Elephas maximus indicus: one gene and its partners. The main gene of each other region encodes a partner of the protein of the gene in region 2 in a complex. Links are inferred from orthologs where the notes say so. Each region holds a gene or a part of one and is shown on either strand. Other genes may lie near its edges.

The links.
Region 1: NUP93 (region 2) and NUP85 share a complex: the UniProt entries of both Homo sapiens proteins name them as parts of the nuclear pore complex. The link is inferred for Elephas maximus indicus from reciprocal best matches to the Homo sapiens genes NUP93 and NUP85.
Region 3: NUP93 (region 2) and NUP153 share a complex: the UniProt entries of both Homo sapiens proteins name them as parts of the nuclear pore complex. The link is inferred for Elephas maximus indicus from reciprocal best matches to the Homo sapiens genes NUP93 and NUP153.

Annotation. Positions count from the first base shown.
Region 1 is NC_064837.1:65,551,678-65,559,171, forward strand, and holds the start of NUP85 (nuclear pore complex protein Nup85), read left to right. Parts: upstream 1-4,471; 5' UTR 4,472-4,609; coding exon 4,610-4,642; intron 4,643-4,651; exon of another isoform or gene 4,652-6,519; intron 6,520-7,494. UniProt on the Homo sapiens protein: Essential component of the nuclear pore complex (NPC) that seems to be required for NPC assembly and maintenance. As part of the NPC Nup107-160 subcomplex plays a role in RNA export and in tethering NUP96/Nup98 and NUP153 to the nucleus.
Region 2 is NC_064839.1:23,667,410-23,674,871, reverse strand, and holds the start of NUP93 (nuclear pore complex protein Nup93), read right to left. Parts: upstream 3,105-7,462; 5' UTR 2,964-3,104; intron 1-2,963. UniProt on the Homo sapiens protein: Plays a role in the nuclear pore complex (NPC) assembly and/or maintenance. May anchor nucleoporins, but not NUP153 and TPR, to the NPC. During renal development, regulates podocyte migration and proliferation through SMAD4 signaling.
Region 3 is NC_064819.1:63,114,061-63,121,258, forward strand, and holds the start of NUP153 (nuclear pore complex protein Nup153), read right to left. Parts: upstream 3,024-7,198; 5' UTR 2,493-3,023; coding exon 2,376-2,492; intron 1-2,375. UniProt on the Homo sapiens protein: Component of the nuclear pore complex (NPC), a complex required for the trafficking across the nuclear envelope. Functions as a scaffolding element in the nuclear phase of the NPC essential for normal nucleocytoplasmic transport of proteins and mRNAs.

The sequences.
Region 1 (7,494 bases), on a different chromosome or scaffold from region 2:
GGGGCACAGGATATAGAAAAAGATTGCCCGTTTAACACTACTACATATTCACTGAATATTGATATACATATTGTGCAAGCATAATGTAGAGACTGGTCCTATTTGCTTTTTGAGGTCAGGTATCATCACTTTTCGTTTTTGTATTCTCAGCAAATAACAAAGTCCTGAATGTCGGTGGTCAATAAATGTTCACTGACTTATTGATCCAGTAGTAACTTTTCATGGTACTTTTAATTTTGTTTTTGTTGAGAATATACACAGCAGAATGTAACACCAATTCAACAGTTTCCACTTATACCGTTTAGTGACATTGTTTACATTCTTTGAGTTGTGCAACTATTCTCACCTCCTTTTCTGAGTTGTTCTCCCCCCCGCCCGTTAACATAAATTCACTGCCCCCTAAGGTTCCTATGTAATCTTTCAATCATTAGAGTTGCTGTTGTCACTTTCATTCCATGTAAAAACCCAAACCCTTTGCCACTGAGTGGATTCTGACTTGACTTAGAGAGACTCAAAGGACAGAGTAGAACTGCCCCACAGGGTTTCCAAGGAATGGCTGGTGGTTTCAAACTACAGACCTCTCAGTTAGCAGCTGAGCTCTTAAACACCGTGCCACTAAAGGGTTCCTTTCATCCCATATAGCTAATCCTTAAAAGTGCATAATGCTTAAGGCAGACCTTTTTACTAGTTAAGCTAAACTATTGTTTGGTTTTGAGAAGACTTCAGGGGATACTTCTGGTTTAAGTTTTAAAGGCTATCTCAGGGCATTTATGGCACCTTTCATGAGAATGACAAAAATCCTTAGCATGCCTAAATAAGACGTCCTGAGTACCTGTCAGTTATGCAGCCTGTACAATGGTAGGACAATCAAGTTTTTCTAAATCCATTAATGCTTCTGTCTTACTCCTCTGTTCATCACTGGATTCAAACAGGGCACTAGCAATGAGGCCCAGCAACTTGAAGCTGTTGGCTAGCTTCATAAAATGCACAGAAAGAAATTAAAGCTACAGACCACAGAGTTATGCCCAATATAGATACTATCTTTACTCTCCAATTCTCATTTTTAACTACTCTTACCTGGAGATAAGGAAGGTAGAGTTGGAAGGATGGTTCTCAAAGGCTGGTGCTCTGGGTAACAGCATCAGCTTCACGTTAGACATGCAAGTATCTGGCCTCACCCCAGACCTACTGAGTCAGGAGCTCTGGGGATAGGGTGCAAGAAGAGGTAGTTAATAAGACCTCTAAGTAGTTCTGAAGTCCACTGAAGTTTCAGAACTATGAGCCTAGAGCAGCTTTTACTACACTAATATAAACTTGTCACATTTAGAATTTTTACTTCTCAATTTTAAGTCTTTTGTGGCTAGATCTAGGCTATCAAGCAGTTTTCATAAATAGACACACAACACACAAGTGGAATTTTTTTAATAACTTACATACGTATATTTATTGATATATATATGTGGAAACCCTGGTGGCATAGTGGTTAAGTGCTACAGCTGCTAACCAAAGGATCCTAACCAAAGGATCGGCAGTTCGAATCCGCCAGGCGCTCCTTGGAAACTCTGTGGGGCAGTTCTACTCTGTCCTGTAGGGTCGCTATAAGTCGGAATCGACTCGACGGCACTGGGTTTGGTTTTTTTAGATTATATATGTAATATATTTATATGTCTTTTAAAATATTAAAAACTTAAAATCCATACATATTCCCATAACTTTAATACAATAACTAAAACCTACTGCCATCGAGTCGATTCCGACTCATAGCGACCCTATAAAACAATACTACTTCTCAATTTTAATTTTCAATCTTTACCTATATGCATACTCATTGACGTAACTGTAGAAATATACAAATTTTGGTTCACCTATAGCCTTATAAAATTATTTGGTAAATATGCTAAAGACAGCTTTTTTTTCCTGATTACAAGAGTAATAATAATAATTCCTGCCAATCCTGTTTTCTACTTAAATATCTGTTAAAAAAAACCCCAAACTCGTTGCCATTGAGTCGATTGCAACTCATAGCAACCTTTCATTTTTCATAAAATTGAGAATTTTTTAAGAAAATTTTACCAAATGTCATCTTCATAGAATTTTACATTTTATCACTATATTGTTAGCATTTCCTACATCACTGAATATTCATATAAAATTATTTTTTTGAAGGTGGAGCATCTATTTATTTTTTAATACAGAAAATACAGGCGTATTTAAAAAGGGAAACATGCAAAAAAGTCACAAAGAGTAACAAAGTATATCACAAAACAAGAAAGTAAACTGAAAATAACAAGTGTACTAAATAAAACAGAGCCCAGCACAATGTTGGGCTTTCTTCCTGTGAGTTCCAGGATGCCCAGGCACTACCAGGTAGAGATGATCCCGCTTTTGCAAGAGCCGGTTGGTTGTGCAATGGTTAAAACCCAGTCCTCCTTTTCCTGAACAGTCACACCCTGTCCAAGCTGAGAGGCAATGAGACCGGTTTGGTCTTATGCATAAAACTGCCTTTTAATGACTGCATAATATTCCATCATAAGCCTTAGCTAAGAGTGAGACATGCGGGTTATGCCCCTTTTTTAGTGTGATTATTGAAACTGTCCTTCTTGATTTTTCCCTGGAAGTAGAATTATGGGGACAAAATGATGAACATTTTAAAGCTTCTTGACTTTTCTGTGTCTCGTCCAGTCTTTACAGTTCTTTTAAATAGGTTAATATTTCATCTGATACTGTTTACTTAGCTGTTCCTCTATTCCTCTTTGGTTGAACCACACCAGTGGTTCTCAACAGGTACTATTTTGCCCCCTAGAGGACATTTGGGACTGTCTGGAGACAGTTTTAGTTGTCACAATTGGTGAGGAGTGCTACTGGTATCTAGTAGGTTGAGGCTAGGGATGCTGCTAAACATCCTACAATGAAGGCAGGACTAATTGCTAGAAAAAAAGCATCATGTTTGGTAAAGGAGAGGGTCAGCAACAACTAGAGAAACCCTCAGTGAGATGGATTGACCCACTAGCCACAGGAACAGTCAAACAGACATCACGGAGATGGTGCAGGCCCAGGCAATGTTTCATTCTGTCACATAAGGTCTCCATGAGGTGCAGCTGATTAAAGAGCAACCAACAACAATAGCTCTATTGACTGCAGTTTTCTTTTAACTAATGAGTGTACTTGAATGGTTGTGTAAAGTGGCTATTTTGAATAGCCAAAGCAGATATGGTAACCAGTTTCAAAAACTTCCATTTATCTGCTACTGAACGCTTATTTTACTTTTGGAAAATGTAAGCCTCTTTTTATCCCTTAGAAAATGGGCCACACCGTTGGTATTAGGCACTCAGATCAGTGAAGCTGTGGTACATCTGCAAAATGCAGCGAGACGTGGATGGGGGAATTGTTGAGTTTTATCCGAACTGCCAAATTTCATTCTACAAGTGGCTGACTTTTGTGAATGGGACTTGGATTTAATTGTACTAGCCCACAGGAGAAAACTAACACTTCTCACCATTCCAGAACAGCTTATTGTCACTAATTCATGTAGATGATTCCAATAGTTTTCAGGGAAAGAAGCACTGATCCCATTGATAGATTTATTTTCAGATCAACTTCCCTCCTAAATAAAAAAAAGCTGTTACATTTTCAGGGAGTGTATTTTTTAAGACTTACTTTTAAATTTCGAATTATCTTCAGTTCGTTCAAAAAGTTGCTTGCATAGGAAATTGAGAACAGATGGCGCAGGACCGGACAGTGTTTCGTTCTGTTGTACATAGGGTCGACGGCACCTAACAACAACACTATTCTCTTACTTGATGTGTTATATGGCAGTAAAAATAAATAACTTCACACCTTGAAGTTACTTAACACTTTTCAGTTTTCCGTAACAAGGCCACGCAGTCTCTGATTTGCGTGTCTCCGCTGTGCATTCATTTTGCTCTGCTTTTCCTTGGAGAGATAACAAACCCAGTATTTGTGTTAAGCCACCCCAGCTGTCTCACTTCACAGTTGCACCAATTTGTCCGCGTGCTTCTAGTGTGCTGTAGCGTGGGAGTGGGGGCCACTGCCTTGGCACACAAGCCCGCCAGAGCGGCGGGACTAGGGGAAGGGGCCCCATTACTCTGGACACCAATGGGAGAAGCGATGATGCTAATGTGGAGACCGGGAGAGAGAGACAAAAGCCAGCTGGGAGAGGTCGTAGGCACGGCACAGAGGCCGGGTTCCAGCGCCCAGGCAGCCGCGCTGCTTCACGCACGCACGGCCCCACCACCTCCGCCGGGCGGCCCTCCTGTTGCTCCCGCCCCCTCGGGGGCCTTCTTCCTGCCCGGCGCGGGCTGTCCGTGGCGGCGCCTGACCCGGCGGCAGGGTTACTAGGAGGATAGGCTGCACCTGGCGCTTTTCCCCTTAACTGCTGTCGAGGCCAGGAAGGAGGGAATACGTTAGACAGCCGCAGGGGTGGTTATGGCTGAGAGGAGAGGCTCCTGCAACGTCGGGGAGCTGAGCCTGACCGGCACTGCTGGAGGCGCCCTGACGGGGTCCTCTCTCTCAGCCGGGTTCCGAGCGGGAGGCCGGAGCTGGAAGCATTGGCGGCTTGTCCAGTTCCAGGGTGCTGAGACGCGGCGCGATGGAGGAGGTCGATGGAGAGCCGATAATCACTGTAAGGGCGCCCGGAACAGGCTTGCTTGCCCTCACGATCCGAGGGCTGCGTCTGCTCCGTCGCTGCAGGCTTGTCCACCGCCTTGCGGCTCGGGAGGCGCCCGTATCCCTTTCCTCGGCTCAGTTGCCGCCGTCGAGAGATCGCGGCTTGAACTAGGTGCCCGTGTTCGGGTCGCAGTGGTCGCTGGGTTTCTGCTTCTTTGTTCCCTCAGAAACCTGTCCCCGGAGGCCCCATTCCATCCCTCTTCCGCCCTTGTCTTCCCAACCTTCCTACTTTGCTCCGCTTTTCCTCCTGGGTGTTAGAGCGAGTCCGGACCCAGCGTGGGTGGGGCTTTTTTTTTCCAACCGAATTAAGCTGCTCCACATCTCAGCGCCCTGAGATTGGCGTCTGCTAGTCGTGCAGTAAGGGTCCTTGGTGGCGCAGTGGTTAAAGCTCTCGGCTGCAAGCCAAAAGGTCGGCACTTCGAACCCACCAGCCACTCCGCGGGAGGAAGATGTAGCAATCGGCTCTCGTAAAGATTTACAGCTTTGAAAACCCTATGGAGTGTTTCTCTGTCCTATAGGGTCGCTACGAGTCGGAATCCAATCGATGGCAGTGGGTTTTAGTCGCCAGGTTTATTAAACGTATTTATTCTCTTGGGATCACTCCTGTTTTCACTGCTCTGTTTGCGTTCAATTCAGTCTGCACTCTCAGGAGGATATGTCAAGTATAAACGATCTGTGATTTTATGAAGAGATACATGGGCTTTGGATACTAGATACCTTTAGATATTTCCTTCCGCTGCCCGGAATGTTTTTTTCTTCCCTCTTTGCTTTATCTGCCGCTCATTTTTCAAATCTAAGCTCCGTCAGCCTCTCAGAAAAGCTTTTCCTGACCCCCTGACGAGTCAGTTTGTCTTTATGCCCTAGGCTTTCAGAGTTCTGCACCTCTTGGGTCTTAGCAGCCTCTAATAAAACCAAAAACCAAACCCGTCGCCGTGGAGTTGATTCTCACTCATGGCGACCCTAGGTGTTACAGAGTAGAACTGAGCCCTATAGAGTTTTCTTGGACGTAATTTTACGGAAGCAGATTGCCAGGCCTTTCTTCCACAGAGCTGCGGGTGGGTTTGAACTGCCAACCTTTAGGCTAGTAGTGAAAGTGCTACCCAGGGACCTACCTTGTCAACGTCTATACACCACTAACTTTGTAAGTTACCTGACCGAGTGTTTTTTGCTTTTTAGAAGGTTAAAATGCGTACAGTTTTCACCTAAAACTACCTGATTGCAAAGCAGTCTATGATAAAACCAAATACTGAAAATGGGGATTATTTCAAAGCTAATGAGGTAGAAATGGGATATGAGATCTTAAATAGCAGCTGAAATGAGTTATTTTCTACGAAGTTTATTAGTTCTATAGAGTGTTAATTATTAAGTACATGTAAAGTACCCTAAATATTAAATATCCATCAAGTACTATGTCATTGTTTGTCAGTGGTGTATTCAGGAAGAAAACTTAGAATGTCAGAATCCCTGGGACTTCTTCAAACTTCACGTCATCTTGCTGTCCCCACCTCCATTACTCTGATATTGAGCCATGTGTTTACAAAGGGGATGAAGGTGCTCTAAGCTAATTTTCCCTCCGGTGGTGATAATTAGTCCCTGAGTGGTGAAAACAGTTTACAGGCAGGCTGCTAACCAAAAGGTTGAAGGTCTGCCCAGAGAGTCCTCAGAGGAAAGGCCTGGTGATCCACTTCCAAAAAATCAGCCACTAACGCCTTACAGGGCACAGTTCTCTGCACATAGGGTTGCCATGGATTGGAATCAACTTGGCAGCTATTGGCTTTGGTTTGGTGATGATTGGCCTGTGATAACCCAGCTCTGCACTGATGTGGAGACCAGGTAGGAAATTGGTTAGCTTTGTGGGCTGAGCCTCGTAGACAGTCACAATCCTTGGTAGAACTCCATAATCCAGAGTCTGAGCCTCAACTCTGCAAGTTTAGACTTTTGTCTGTGCTTCAGAGTTAATCTGCTCTTTGGGTTTATTCTAATCAGACTTTCGAGAGGCTGATGTATTATCCTGAACACCATTTTATGAATTCACCCCTTCTCAGAATTGTGTCTGCTGTTAAGACAACTGCTTTCTGTTATCAAGGTACTTGAAGGCATATTAGTAATTAGTAGGTTCAAGGATATTTAAGCATAAATTCAAGGTAGTAGAACAAACCAAACCCATTGCCATTGAGTCAATTCTGACTCATAGAGACCCATAGGGTTTCGAATTGTTGACCTTTTTTGGTTAGCAGCCTGAGGTCTTAACCACTGTGCTACCAGGGTCCCAGTAGTAGAATAATTGTGAGTGATTCATCTAGACCAAAGGTCTTCAATCCCTTTTTTTTTTTTTTGATCAAGCACTCCTTAAGAAATACAAGTTATAGTCACCTTCCCCAGGAAAATGCCTGTATGCATATATTTTGAGGTGTTTTGAGGACCCATTGAAGCCAAGACACTTGGAAAATTCCCTCACACCCTTTGCCTAAGTCAGTTTCTACCCTGACCACTTTCTGACTCTTGTCACCATAGATTAGTTTGCCTGTTCTTGAACTCCAACATGTACTTTTTTGTGTCTTCCGGCACGCTGTGGCCTTTTTAAGTGTGAGATGCCGCTTAGGCAGCCTATAGTGGTAGGGATTAGGAGTTGGATGGATGAAACTGAGGCCCTTGGGAATTGGCCTGAGTCAAAGAGGAAATGCAGAGCCAACATCGTAGAGGTGGCACAGAAGCCTTGGGATTGGATGTCTTTATTTTTTTCAGTGTGCAGCAAACAGGGTTCGATTCTTTTTTTAACTTCCCTTTTCTGAACTACAGATCACTGAA
Region 2 (7,462 bases):
AGTCAATTCAGTCAGAAACCAGCTAAAGAGTCACTCCAGGGTGCCCTTTTTCCTCCTGAACATTCAGCCAATCCCCAGGTCTACCACCCAAACCTTTTGCAAAGCCAACCCTTATCTCTTTCGCCCCTACACTGATCCTCTCGCTCTTCTCCTGGATCACCTCAACAGTCTAGGTCTTCTCGTTCCTCCAATTCATCCTCCCCATGGCCAGAGAGAGTTTTCTGAAATACTCCCCAGGAAATACCTTCCATCCACTACAGGAGGAAGTACTCACCCTCTGCCATAGCTATTCAGGGTGCCCTCCATAGAACAGACACTGCCACCCTTATCATATTCACCTATTATTGCCCTCCCCCAACTCTACACTCCAGGAACTCTCTATTTCTTGGAGTTCCTCATGCTGTTTCCTCTGTCCCCATGCCAGGTGCACACTCACAGTGCCATCCCCACCCTGTCCACATAAGGAGGCTATGTGTCCTGTAAAGCCAGCTGGGGCAGCCCCGCTCATCCCAGCCCCCTCCCACACTATTCTGCATTTTCTATCGCTGCTCCTCCCTAGTGAAGTAGTTGTGATTACTTCTGTCTCCCTCACTGGGTGGCGAATTCCTGTAGGGTAAGGTCCATGGACTGCTCAACTCTAAATCCTCAGCAGTTGATAAGCTTGGCAACTAACAGGCACCAAATAAATGTCTGCAGAATTAAAAGTGACCTGTTTCCTGAACACACCCTGCCCCCCCACCCCCAGCACATCTCTCTTTCCCTCTACCTTATTTTCTGCCTCAGCCTATCAGGACGCAGATTCAGATATTCAAGTTCTTCACATCCCCAACTTGTTCCCACCTCAGGGTCTTTGATTTTGCTGTTCCCCCTGCCAGGAATGCTCTTGCCCTAGATATTCCTATGACTTGCACTCTCATTTCAGGCAGGTCCCTATTCAAATAATCTGTCCTCATTTATAAAATGCCCGACACCACATTCTATATTTGTGTTTTTTTTGTCAGTGGCCTCTCTAGGACCATCCGCTCAATGACAGCAGGTCTGTCTCATTCACCACTGTATCCCCAAGCCTATAACAGTGCCAAGCACAGTCATTTCTTCCATATTTACTAAGCATCTACTGTGTGCCAGGCCTAGGTGCTTGGGATATGTAAGGGAAAAAAACAGATAAAAATCCCTTCCCTCCAGGAGCTCACATTCTAGAGGGGGAAGACAAACAATACACACAATAAATATGTAAAATATAACTCCTAAGAAGAAAAACTAAAGCAGTTAAGGAAGACAGGAAGTGGGAAAAGCCTCATTAGGCGACCCTTCAGTAAAGTTCTAAAAGAAGTAAGTGAGCAAGTCACATGAATATTGAACTGCAAGTGCAAAGGCCCTGAGGCTAAAGCATGTCTGACTCCTGTAAGGGAAGGGTTGGGGAGGGTAGAAGAAAACGAGATCAGAAAACTGTCAGTGGGTCAGGCTGTGTAAAGCTTTAGGGCTCACAGTAAGGAGTCTGTGTTTTATTATTAATGAAATGGGGACCTATTCAAGGGTTTTTTGAGTAGAGAAGTGATATGATCTGGCCTGCTTTACAAGGATCCCTCTTGCCGCTGTGCTGAAAATGGAGGCCAGGGTAGAAGCAGGGAGACCAGTTGGGAGGCTATTCCAATAATCCAGGTGACAGGTGGCAGTGACTTAGCCCAGGATGGCAGGCATTGGACATAGAGTGAGACAGAAGAGCAATCAAAGATGACTCTAAGGGTATTGGCCAGAGCAGCTAAAGGATGCACTTGGCTTTTATTTCACTGAGATAAAAAGAGCAAGAGGAGCAATCTGGAGAGGGAGATGGAGGGGAGCTTTCGAGCGCCATTTTGGCAGATTCAGTTTGAGCTCCCCATCATCCATTTCAGTAGACATCAAGCAGGCAGCTAGATAAAGGCCTGGGAGAGGCCCAGGCTGGAGGTATAAATCCGAGCTGTTAGCTTAATATATAGGTATTTAAAGGTATAAGTCTGGATGAGTTCACCATGAGTGAAAGATGAAAGCATCACAAACACAAAAGCACAAAGAAGAATGGTGGAAAGAAACAAAGAAGAAAAGCTACAAGCCTGAAAAACCTCTCCCCCCAAATCTGGTCTGCGGTCAGTATTAGAAGACAGAATACAAAAGGTGACCCTTGCTTGTGCGGAAAGACCTTGGCCAAAACAAACAAAAAACAAAACCTCCTTCCTACACCTGGCTGAAGGGCAAATCCGAACCAATCGGCTCTGTCAAGGTATCCTTCAAACTTTGACTAAAGACCCCTGGCGTCGGCCCCATAATTTTTTAAAAGGAATCCAGTAAAACTCAGGCATCGCCTCTGCAGAAGATGGGATGCTGTAAGCCCAGAAAAAGGATGGATCACCCCCGAATTCCAATCATAAGCAATTCCCCGAATGGGGAGAAACATCCCCCTGAACGTCTGTTCAGAAGGAAGGGCAAGGGATGGGAGAGGCTTACAGGGTGGTCTCCCCCCTACCCAAAGGCTCCTTCCTTCAGAAGGCAATGCTTCCCAAGAGGGTGTATCCCCGGGGAGCCAGCGAGCCGGCAGGGCTCGGTCAGTGGAGGAATCAGGAAGGATGTTGCAGTGGGAAGGGGGCGCCGATCCAGCCAAGGGTGGGCCCGTAGGGCAAGGGGTGGGGGCGTGGTGCGCCGCGGCGACTGCTATAACGGGGGAGAGGGAGATCAGGAGGCTAAGGCTCTGTACTCAAGAAGAGGGCAAATAAAAGGCATTCCAGGGGCGCAACCCTACGCTATAATGGGGGGCGGTTCGACAGGGCGTTATGTCACCAGCGTCAGGCGTGCCTGGCTGCCACGAGGAGAACGGGAAGTGTGAACGGCACAGCTCCGAGCGTGGGGACGGAGCTCCGCCCAGGCGCAAAATCCGGGGTTCAAGGACAAGCCCCAGGTCGGAAGGACGTGCACAGAAGCGACCTTACCTGGCGCCGTAGCCGTCTCCCCCGCTCAGGTCCGGGTTTGAGAGCGCGGCCGCCGCTTCTCGCGCCGCTCACCTGCGCTTCCTGATTGGCCGAGGCTGGACGCTCCCAGAAACCCCTGCGAGGCGCGCCACCGAAGGAACTTTATGGAGACCCGCGGAGAAGGACAGGAACATGGGTGGGGCCGGGGGCGGGGATGGGGCGGGGCCTTGGGCGGGGTCTGAGGCTGCGCTGTCACTCCCGACACACCCGCGGCCACCGCCCTTACCCTCCCACGTGGTTAGAATCCGCTCTGCTGGGAGAACGCGATTCCACAATTGGCCTGCGCGGATTTCTCGCCCCTTATTAAGCGCCATCCAAGTACCAGGGACTATTCTAGGCGCTGGAGACACAGCGACGACCACGACAGACAAAACCCCTGCCCTAGTGGAGCTCTCAGGCTGGTGAGGGAAACATAATATAAGTAAATAAATAATAAATGACTGAACATTGTCAGAAGGACTATGAAGAAAGAAGAGCGACCGGAGAGAGTGCCTGGATGGCCAAGGAAGGCCTCTCTGAGGAGGTGACATTTGAGGCGAAGCATGAATGATGACAAAGGGTCAGCCTTGCACAGTCTTGGCTGCAGCATTTCAAGCAGAGGGACAAGAGTGAAGGCTCGGAGGGGGAACAAGCTTGGCGTTTGAGGAATAGAAAGGGGTGTATGGCTGGAAAACGGTGACTGAAGGCAGATGGGGTAAGACTCACAGTAGGCTGGGCCAGACTTGCAGGTCCTTTCCACCATGGCAAAAAAAGTTCAATTTCTTCTTCATGCAATGGGAAGTCTAAGTCTTTTCGTTGCTCCAACCCATCCGTCCCGTGGCTGGAGAGGCCTTTCTGAAATTCTCCTCTGCTTTGAGCCTTTTTTTTTTGAGCCCATCAGGCAGAGGGTCAGCTCAGATGTCACCGTCCAGCCACAACAGGAGGAAGTACTCATCCTTTGACATAGCTATACAGGTGCTCTCTATAGAATGGGCACAGCCACACTTATTCTCATCTGTTATTGCCCTTTAACCAACTCTATTACATTTTTTCATGAAGTGTAATTTACAATAAAATGCACCTGTTTTAAGAGCACACTTAGATTCATTTGAACAAATGTGTCTTTGTAGCCATTGCGCCAAGATATAAAACATTTTCATCATCCTAAAAAATTTCCTCAGATCCCTTTGCAGTCAATCTCATTTCCAACCCCCCCCCCAAAAAAAACCTGGGAAACCACTGATTTGCTTTCTATCATTAGTTTTGCCTGTTCTAGAATTTCATGTAAATAGAATCATACCATATCTTTTGTGTCTGGCTTCTTTAGCTCAGTTGATACCTGTATCACTAATTCCTTTTTATTACCAAGTAGTATTCATTGTATAGATACACCGTGTATTATTTATCCATTCATCTATGAGTCGGAATCTACTCGATGGCAATGGGTTTGGTTATTTTGTTTTTATTGATAGATGTCTGAGTTATTTCCAGTTTATGGCTATTATGAATAAGCTTCTATGAACATTTTTGTACAAGTTTTTGTACGAATGTATATTTCCATGTCTCTTAGATAAGTATCTAGCAGTGGAATTTCTGGGTCATATGGTGCCCTGATTAAGCGTTCAGCTGCTAACCAAAAGTTTGGCAGTTCAAATCCACCAGCTGCTCCTTGGAAACCCTATGTGGCAGCTCTGCTCTGTTCTATAGGGTCACTATGAGTTGGAATTGACTTGACGGCAACAGGTTTGGTTATTTTGATGTTTGTGGTAAATATGTGTTTAACTTTATTAAAAACTGTCAAATTATTTTCTAAAGTGGTTGCACCAGTTTGCATTCCCACCAGCAAGGTGAGCTCCAGTTGCTCTACATCTTCGCTAACACTTGATATTGTTAGTTTGTTTTGGAGTTTTTATTTTTGAGCCATCCTAATAGGTGTGTAGGGTATCTCAGTGCAGTTTAAATTTTTTATTTCCCTGAAAACTAATGATGGTGAGAAAATGGCTACATTTTAAAATTGACAACACCAGTCACGGAGGCGGCACGTGGAGCAACAGAAACCATCAGGTACTGCTGAGGGCTTGTCAGTGGGTACACCCACCTTGGAAAATGGCTCCATCTATTAAAGCTAAATATATATGCTCTGTTGTTTTGGGGTGCCACTGAGTCAATTTTCTACTCGTAGTGACCCATAGGGTTTTCTAGGCTGTAATCTTTACAGAAGCAGATCTCCGAGTCTTTCTCCCATGGAGCCTCACAATGGGTTGAAACCGCTGCAGCTTACAGTTTGCACCCAAGCACTTAACCATTGTACCACCAGGGCTCCTTTACATGTACATACTCTACAAAACAACAATTCTATGTACATATCTGTCTATCTCCAGCATAAATGTGTGCATATTCTCACCGGAAGTCATGTATAACAACATTCATGGCACCATAATTTGTACTAGGCTGAAAGTACAACCTAAATGTCCCTTAACAGAAGAGCGGACATGCAAATTATGCTGTGGTCATGTAACAAATGCAGTAAGAAAAAGAATGAACTACATCCACAAAAAGCAACTTAAAGGAACCTCACGGACATACTGGTAAGCAAAAGTAAAAAAAAAAAAAAAAACCAGTGCCGTGGAGTCGATTCCAACTCATAGCAAAAGTAGCCAGACACAAAAGTATAACTCCATTTATATAAAGTTCAAGTCAGGCCAAACTAATCTATGGTGACAGATGTCAGAATAGTGGTTATTTTGAAGGGGGAAGGAAGGAGCTATAGACTGGAAAGAAGAATGAAGGAATCCGAGGTCTGTTAATGTGTTATTTCTTATCTGGAAGCCAAGTGCCAATTTTTTTTAAAATTCACTAAGCTGCACGTTTAAGATTTTGTGCACTTTACTACGTATATATTATTCATTATATTACAATAAAAAGTTAAAAATAATGTAAAACGTCCCCTTTACTGTGGAATATTACATTTTTTACTACTCAAAATTCACATCACTGTCCCTCCCCCTACTGTCTGTAGTTTTGAACCTCATTGAACTACTGTGGTAGTCCCCCACAATACCCAGCACGTGTCACAGGGAAGGAAAGCAAGAAATATTTCTTTTAAGTAACAGAATCAAGCTCCACTGATTGCCTCCCTATCTTGACTGCGCTGCCAGAGGTGAAGTTCTTAGTGGGTGGCAACAAATTACCTAAAGCTTTGTGGTCAGTGGCTGAGTGATGAGCAATGTCCTTTAAAAATCATGAGAAGCTTCAAAGGGAAGCTTCTAACTATGCTTTCAGATGGGTTTAATTTCAGCTGCACAAAAGGCGACTTGACATTATCAGAAATGGCAAATAAGCTTTCTCTTGAACACTAAACCAGTCGCCGTCGAGTTGACTCCAATTCGTGGTGACCCCATGTGTTGCAGATAGGACTGATCCATAGGGTTTTCTGGGCTGTAATCTTGACAGAAGCAGATATCCAGGACTTTCTTTTGCAGCACCACTGAGTGAGTTCAAATCACCAACCTTTCGGTTAGTAGTTGAGCGCAAAGCGTCTGGCTATTCAGGGACCTAGTTCAAGAGCAGGCATAGCTGATCTGTGGTGATAGAGGTGAGGATAATTGTTCCTCAGGAGTAGGTATGACTGGGAAAGAGCTCAAGGGAACTGTCTGGGTTGCCAGAAATAGTCTGTATCTTGATCTGGATGGCAACACAGGTGTGTGCATATATATATATATATATATTTTATATGTGAAGTTTTATTTAGCTGTACACTTAAGGTTTGTGCATTTTACTGGGTGAAATTATTTCTCGATAAAAATATTAACAAACTTAAACTTAAAAAGTGATTCATGCCTGTTATTCTGTTTGAGCCTGGCAACAATCTTGGGGTAGGCAGGGCAGGGCTTATTATCATCATTTATCCCATGGGAAACCTAAGATCTAGGGGGGTTCCGTGACTTACCCAAGGTCACACAGGCAAGAAGTAGTGGCAGACCTGAGCCTACACATTCAAGTCTTCTGACATCTGGGACAGTCTCTCTAGCCCAAGAGAGCCTCAGAGGTGAACTTAGAACCAACCCTACATGAATTATAATGAGGAGCTACCCAACGAAGTCCTTAAGGGAATTTTAGTGCCAACTTTCTGAACTGGGACCGGAACGAATCCCACGCCCTCATTAATCAGCAGCAGCCGGCTATCAGATGACATTGTGAAGGTGGTGGGTTTTTTAAACATCTGGTTATTTCATTTGTTATTAAACATACTGTTGAGTAAAAAAAAATCCTACACATCTTTCCATTGCTGCTGTTTAAAAACAGCTTTGCCAACATCTATCAACTTCATTTACGTCAAATTGTGCAATTTGTCACTGAGGCTGAATTTGCCAAACGAGAAAGGAATTTGATTGACAAGGCTCCAGGGCTTCTCTCTCCTCCTTTTCAATATTCCAGATGTTGAAGAAAGTTGGATCCACCCCCAGGAAAGCTCAGATGTG
Region 3 (7,198 bases), on a different chromosome or scaffold from region 2:
GCCTTTAAGTATTTCCCAGCAGAGCTAAACCAGAAGTCAAAACAGGAAATTACAAGTCAATTTAACACATGCAAGAGTCTCAGGTACTGTCTGACTACACTAGCTAATTGGCCTGACAAGCAATGGCAAACAGCCATTAACTAACAGTGCCAGGCCTCTCATTCTGGTTCCAACACTCTACTACATAATGAAAAACTTCATTCCTGCTCAGAAACCCTGGGTCACTTAAATAACATTAGTACAAAACATGCCATGTCATGAAGCGCCTCGATATTCATGATGACTCAGCAACTGCTGCAAAACATCCAATTTGACAGCTTAGGGTAGAATACAGCAAGCAGGTAGTTCACAAAAGTTTCAGTAAAGACTAAGGAAAAGCCCTTAATATAAGATTAAAAAACAGATAAACCAGAAAGCACTCTTCTGTATATACCTGAATACTTTTCTTTGGTAGTTCCTGCCAGTATTAAATAAAACATGTAGTGTTGATCAAGAAATCTCAAAACATCTTTAATCCCAATTCAAAAGCTAAAAATACATATATATTTTTTAAATAAATCAAGCAGCTGGGGCAAGAAGCTTAAAGTATTTTAGATAGGGAGCAATGATAATTTACGAAAATTTAAAACTTAAAAACTATACAGCCTGAAATCGTATCAATTCTAGGGCAGTTTAGATCACAGGCATTCTGTTAAGACATTATTTCCTCAAAATTAGATTCTTATCTAAGTAAATTTAAAAATAAACTGTGATTACAACTTTCGCTGCCTGGAATATATTAACTCCCTTCTAAACTCTGTCCAAACTTTTTATTCATCTGTATTGAAAACGTTTTTCTATGTGTAGTAATTTTCTTTTAAGCAAATCGTAGAAAGCACTGAGATATTCTATAGGAGAAACAGAAAGCATGTATGTCTTTCATTCTACAAAAGAGGCTTAAGTTAAATGGTCAAGGCTTGTGACCTGAATTCTAGCATTAAATCTGCCTACAAGTACCTGTTCCTCACAAAGCCATGTGAAAACGAGGCACTTTCTGTACATATCCGTGGAAAAACTAGCAGGAGATAATAGTAATGCCAAGCCTTCTGACTATTAGAGACCTACTTGGTATAATACATAATCCACAATTTTTACTTTCAAAAGTTCTCCTCAAATCTGTACTTAATGATACAATTTAACACCACCAACAAACATGTTAAAGTGTTCATTATTATCATGCAAAATAAAGCAATCTAGGAAGTCTACCTGACTGTATGCAACAAGTTATTACACCCTTTTGCTATACTTTTGTTTCTAACAAGTTTAAGACACACACTTCCCACCTTAGTGTCAATCAGTTTTATAAGTGGCTTTATTAAAATAGGTATTTGGTATTTTCTGCTCTACCATCCGCCAACACACAAATAACATTTAAAAATGGAATTTTCTCAGAAACGAATGTCTCATTTATACTTAGGCTAAACTCCTTATAATTTTTAACACCCAGGAGTGTACACGGTGATTAAATTATAAGACCACAAACATTCCTAGAGCGTCAAAAGTCCTTAAACTTTTAGAACACGCCCCATAATATTAAAATATTTTGTGTATGAGATCAGAAATGGAATCCTGGTCAACTGTGGAGAATGGCCAATTCTAGTTTCCAAAGTAAAAGGAGGAAGAAAAAAAAAAGAGACAGGTGGGGAGGGAAGAGCCGCGCAGCGCAGAAAATACGTAAGGGTGGAGAGGGACTTTCAAAATGCCCCAGTGCCACGGTTAACTATATCCCGGTTAAGAAAAAAAAGTTGAGCGAATGCTCTCAGATTGAGGACGGACAAGGGCGGCGGAGACGGAGAATTAATCAATCGGCTGAGAGTATATTATTCCATTTTCCGTGTAACAGCGCCCCCCAGTCTCCCGTGAGTCCAAGAAGCCGATTCCTCGGAGCAGCCCCCTCCCCACACACTGAACCGCGGGAGACTAGAAAACGCACAGCCCGCGTAATGGGCTCCGGCCGCATCTTTTCCTTTCTCCCTCGAGAGGCTGTGAGTAATACCTCCAAATCCCCAATCCCCGCCAAAAAAAAGAAAGAAACGCGCGCACCGTGGGCCTAGAATTTCTTTTCCCGCCCTGAGCCTGCCGGGGAAGCCCCTGACCCAGAGACTATGCGAGAGGCGGCCCAAGCCACACATGTGCGCCGCACGGCTGGGCCTGTCTCAGCCCACTTCCCGTCGCCACCCCAGCGGCCTGAGCTCCCGCCGCCTCAATCGGGCCTTCCTCCGGCCCTCCCATCCGATCCACGTGCGGCGGGTGTGGGGAGCCAGAGCCCCGCACTGCCTGACCCCTCTCGCCCAGCCCCCGACCCGTTAGGCCACCGCGGCGTCGGGGTTCCGTACCTGGTGCTGTTGTCGCCCCTGCGCGTAAGGCTTAATTGGCCCCTGGTGACAACGCCGCGTCCGGATCTTGCCACCGCCGCCGCCGCCCCCTCCTATTCCTCCGGCTCCCGAGGCCATGGTGGAGCCTCCGCTGCTTCCCGCTCCGCGGCGGGTAAGGGGGGCGGGAGAGGCAGAGGCGACGGCCTTAGAGCCCCCCCCGCCCGGTCCCGGCCCAAAAGTCCGCCCGCGCTACCCACACGGTGGGACACAGGCACACCAGGGACCTCGAGGTTGCGAGCAGGAGGGGAGAGAGGGTGCGCGCTGGCAGAGGGGGAGGGGGTGGCGGCGGCGGAGGCCGAGGAGCTGGCTCCGGTCCGGCAGCCTTCCGCGGTCCCCCGCCTCTGTGTATGTCACGGTCTCTATGGAGATCTTCCGCAGAGGACAGTGCGAGCGGCTCCGGGCGCTGCTGAGGCCTAACTCGACCGCCGGCTGGTAGGGGATCTTCTTCCGTCGCTCTAGCCGTCGCTGCCGCAGCTGAAGCCGCCGGCGCCGCCCGCCTACCCCTCCCCTCTGCGCACAGCGCCCGCCCTGCCGTCGTCGTCCCTGCAGTCGCCGCCGCTGTTGCGCCTATTGCCGCTGCTAAGGCCGCCGCGGTCGCGAGCCAGGACACCGTCACTCGTTAGCGCCCGACGCCTATGCATCATCTCGCTGCGACCTGCGAGGGGAGGAGGAAGGAAGAGCTCTACGAGCCCGCGCTCTCGGCCGCGCGGTGCGCTGGGTAACGTAGTTCAGGAGGAGCACGTGAGTTCTGGCAAAGGAAGGCGCGGGGTGGTGGATCCGCCGAGCGCCGCAGAGGCACTGAGCGGGCGGTTACGTTCGTTTTCCTGCCCTTAGCTTTAGGCTTAGGCTCTGAAGAACCATTTAACATAAAAACAGTAAGCTCCCAACCACTCTACTTCTCCCTATCTAGCAGAAAGTAAGCAGAGGGTGAAATCAGCGACAGGAGCTAAGTGATATCTTTTAACAACAACAAAAACTCTGTGGTTGAAAAAGCAATGTCCAAAATCATTCGTAGGCCGAAAGCACAATTAGAAAATGTATACAGCTTCATTAAGGTCCTATTAGACATATACACAAGGGCTAGAATTCTGGCTCCCCCACTCAAAATCTCTGAACCTTGGCGTCCTCCTCCAGAAAATAACTTTTAAGTTCACCTTATAGAGCTGGTGCCTACAAGAAATGCAATAAATGGTGGCTATTATGATTACCTACGCAGCTCACAATAGAAGTAAAATGTATATTTTCAGTAATACAAGTGTGCATATGTATGTTCCAAATAAAAGGCATCGTGTTCAGGGAGGTAAGTGAGCATAGGCTCAAGATTGAATCCATACGTATGTAGAGATTCTAAGCGCTGACGGTTAGACAGGTCTTGATGATCACGTGGACCGCCCCTCTCAACGGACACCAAAGACTTCCTAGACAATTTGGGTGGTGCGTTCAAGGACACAGAGCTGGGCAGTCAAACCCAGAACTGTAACACAACTTTTGTATAAGAGTCAAGATGAGTAGTCAGATGATTAAAGAGAAAACTCTACTATTGTTCCATTTTGAGACAGTTGATTTTAAAGCTTTTAAGTAGCTTTGGAGTCAAATAGACTTAGTTTCAAATCTATCATTTACTAGCTGTATAGTCCAGAGGAAGCTATTGATCTTCTCTGTAAGCCTCAGTTTCTTTATCTGTAAATAGAATGAATTTTTATTTCAACAGGATGGTGGTTCTGGTGAAAGGGCTTATGTATTTATGTGCTGTATAATACCTAGTTTATAAAAACTACTGTGTAGAAAGCATTTAATATCAGTCAAGCTGTCAGGTACAAATCTTTAGCGCCAAGATTTTTATACAGTCTCCACCACCTAGCTGCTCAATTCAAAAGTCACTATATAAATCACATAAGTGAAATTGTGAAACCAAATTTATAGTACCTTTGAACTTGTAGTATGTTTCAGCACCTAAAAGAACTATGCTGTATAGGCATAGGCTTACAAAGCATATGGTTTTCAGAGGCATCTCTGACCAGAAGCACCAACACTCAAGAAGTTGCCAAATATGAAAAACAAAATTAATTTGTTTCCCTGCCCCAGCCTCGTGCCTTCACCATACCTAACTCCTCACTAGACTTTCTAGGTATACCTGCTCAGCACTTTACCCTTCTTAAGTACAATTGTTTCTCTTGGATGCTTTCCCCTCTTCAACTGAAGCCTGGTTCTTTTGTAAGCCTTAGCTAGGTATTTGACAAGCGGGGTGAAGTAATTCTGGATAAGCTAACTCACATGGAGAACCTCTACCTGAATTTCCTAACTGGGCTACATATATAGGAGATTGAACTGTAGCCACATCCCATTTTTCCTTTTCATCTACCAGACTCAAAATTTCCAGTACAAGACTATGGACTGGCTAGAGCTCAAAAATGATGTCTTTCTTGGAGGCGTGGGTCAGCCCTCACATTCAAGTTTTGAAAGCAAGGGCTGTGCAGAAGAATTGGGCCAAACTTCAGAATCAAAGATTGGTGGGATTTGAGAAGCTGTGGAAAAATACAAATTCCTTTCAGTTGTTTAACTCATTAACTCACAGAATTCATTTAACTCATTTCACATTTACTTTATTCCTTTGATGTAAAACAACATCCAAGGAAACAATAATACACTAGTTCCACATTTGTGTGACTGCATTTTTGGAAGCTTTACCAGGCAGTTTGAGAGCAGAGACAGAATAAAGGACAGGAGGGAAGCTGTGTTCAAAACTTCCCACTGCTCAGTTTTACCCTGACATAGTATCAGCCTCATTATGGGATGAGATGACTTCTTATTGCATGGTTTGGGATGTTAAAATAACATTATTTCTGTGCTGAGATATAGTGTAGAGTTCCAAATCACCATCTCACACATTTTTGGAACTCATTCTTCTGTTAGCAATTACGAGTAGTAGAATGAGTTATAATAAATTATTTTGATTGTAAAGCTTTAAGGAAAATTATAACAAAAGATCTGCCTGCATCCAAACAAACAAATAAATATTGAGCATTGCTCTAAAAGATACTATATATAAATCGGAAAAAAAGGTCAAATGGCATATAACAATAATAGGGGTTCTTGAAATCCTTCCAGCCATGTTGGAAATTAACAAGCGTTTGAGGAAGGAAATAAGTATTATTTAGTGCTTATAATTAAGCACTTTACATAGATAATAGGATTTAATTTCCTCAAAAACCTATGAGATATTACTATTTGTATTTCACAGAATCAGAAGCTACCATTTATAAATTTTGTGTTATGAACTAGCTGTCTCTTTCTTCATCCATTTCTTTCTATTAGTAACTTCTATTCCTGTCAGTCTTTAACCAGTAACCAAACCAACCCATTGCTGTTGAGGCGATTCCGACTCATAGCAACTCTATAGGACAGAGTTGAACTGCCCCATAGGGTTTCCAGGGAGTGGCTGGTGGATTTGAACTGCTGACCTTTTGATTAGCAGCTGTGCTCTTAACCACTACACCACCAGGGCTCCCAACCAGTAACCAACTGCCTTCAAATCAGTCACCACTCCTGGTGACCCCATACGCGTCAGAGTGCACTGGGCTTCATAGGGTTTTCAATGGCTAATTTTTCAGAAGTAGATCACCAGGGCTTTCTTCCCAGGTACCTCTGGGTGGACTCAAAGCCCCTACCTTTTGGTAAGCAGCCAAGTGAATTAACCATTTATACCACCAAGGGACTCCTTATCAGTCTTTAGGCCAAGTCAAAATTGGGATGGCTTTAGTAAGTGATCTTGTGTTTTGGGTTCTTTCATTGAGTAACTTTTAATAGAAACTTGCCCCCCCCACCCCACACACACACACACACACATACACACTAAATTTTAAGCTCCAAAAGGATAAGGAATTTTTTCCCAGTGTTATAACCTCAGCACATGGATCAGTGCTGACACATGGCGGTCTCTATAGATACTACAGTTCATTTTCCCAATATACCATTATTACCAATACAGCTAAACTCATTTATATAACCGGATCTAACCTGACCTGAATGTATTTGCTACATAAGAAATTAATTTTTTGCAATTCATGATAAAGCATGAATACCATGAATAAGTCCCTATGAAAGTGTTATATAAAGATTTTCATGTTATCCTAACAATCCTGAGAAGAATCATTATCCTCATTTTACAGAAAAGGAAACTGAGTCACTGAGGGGATAATAATAAATTGCAGCACTAATGAGTGGCAGAGTCAACGTTTAAAATGATTTCTCCACTCCTTACCCCAAAGCTCATCGCTTACCTTTACCATCATTCTACCACTTTTGTAGCTAGTTTAGGAACCCACCTACCATTTACAATATTTTTTATTTGAGAATATATTATTTCCAATTCAATTAAGAACAAAATGTTTTAGGAAGATCTCTCTCTGATGGCCTCCACACGGACTGGAATGTTTCGAGTCTGGTCCTACTGTATTGCAGAGCAAGAATAGACATTTGCTTAATGTGATGTGATAACCATGGAAAGACCAGACTCAGATAACTCAGTCAGGGTCACCTGAGAAGCAGGAAATCCCATCTTGGCACAAAGATAAGAGGATATTTTGTGGGATGGAAATGAAGAGTACACCACCAGGGCCATTTTGGTGTAAGAAATGTTGTAACCTATGAATGTCAGAGAGAAGCCATGTTAACAAAACCAATAAAATTCAACTATAGCATAGAGACAAAAAGAATTCTGTGAAGGATAAGGAGAAAACTAATAGCTATTCATTTTTAGACCAAGTGGCAGAAACTGACCAAAA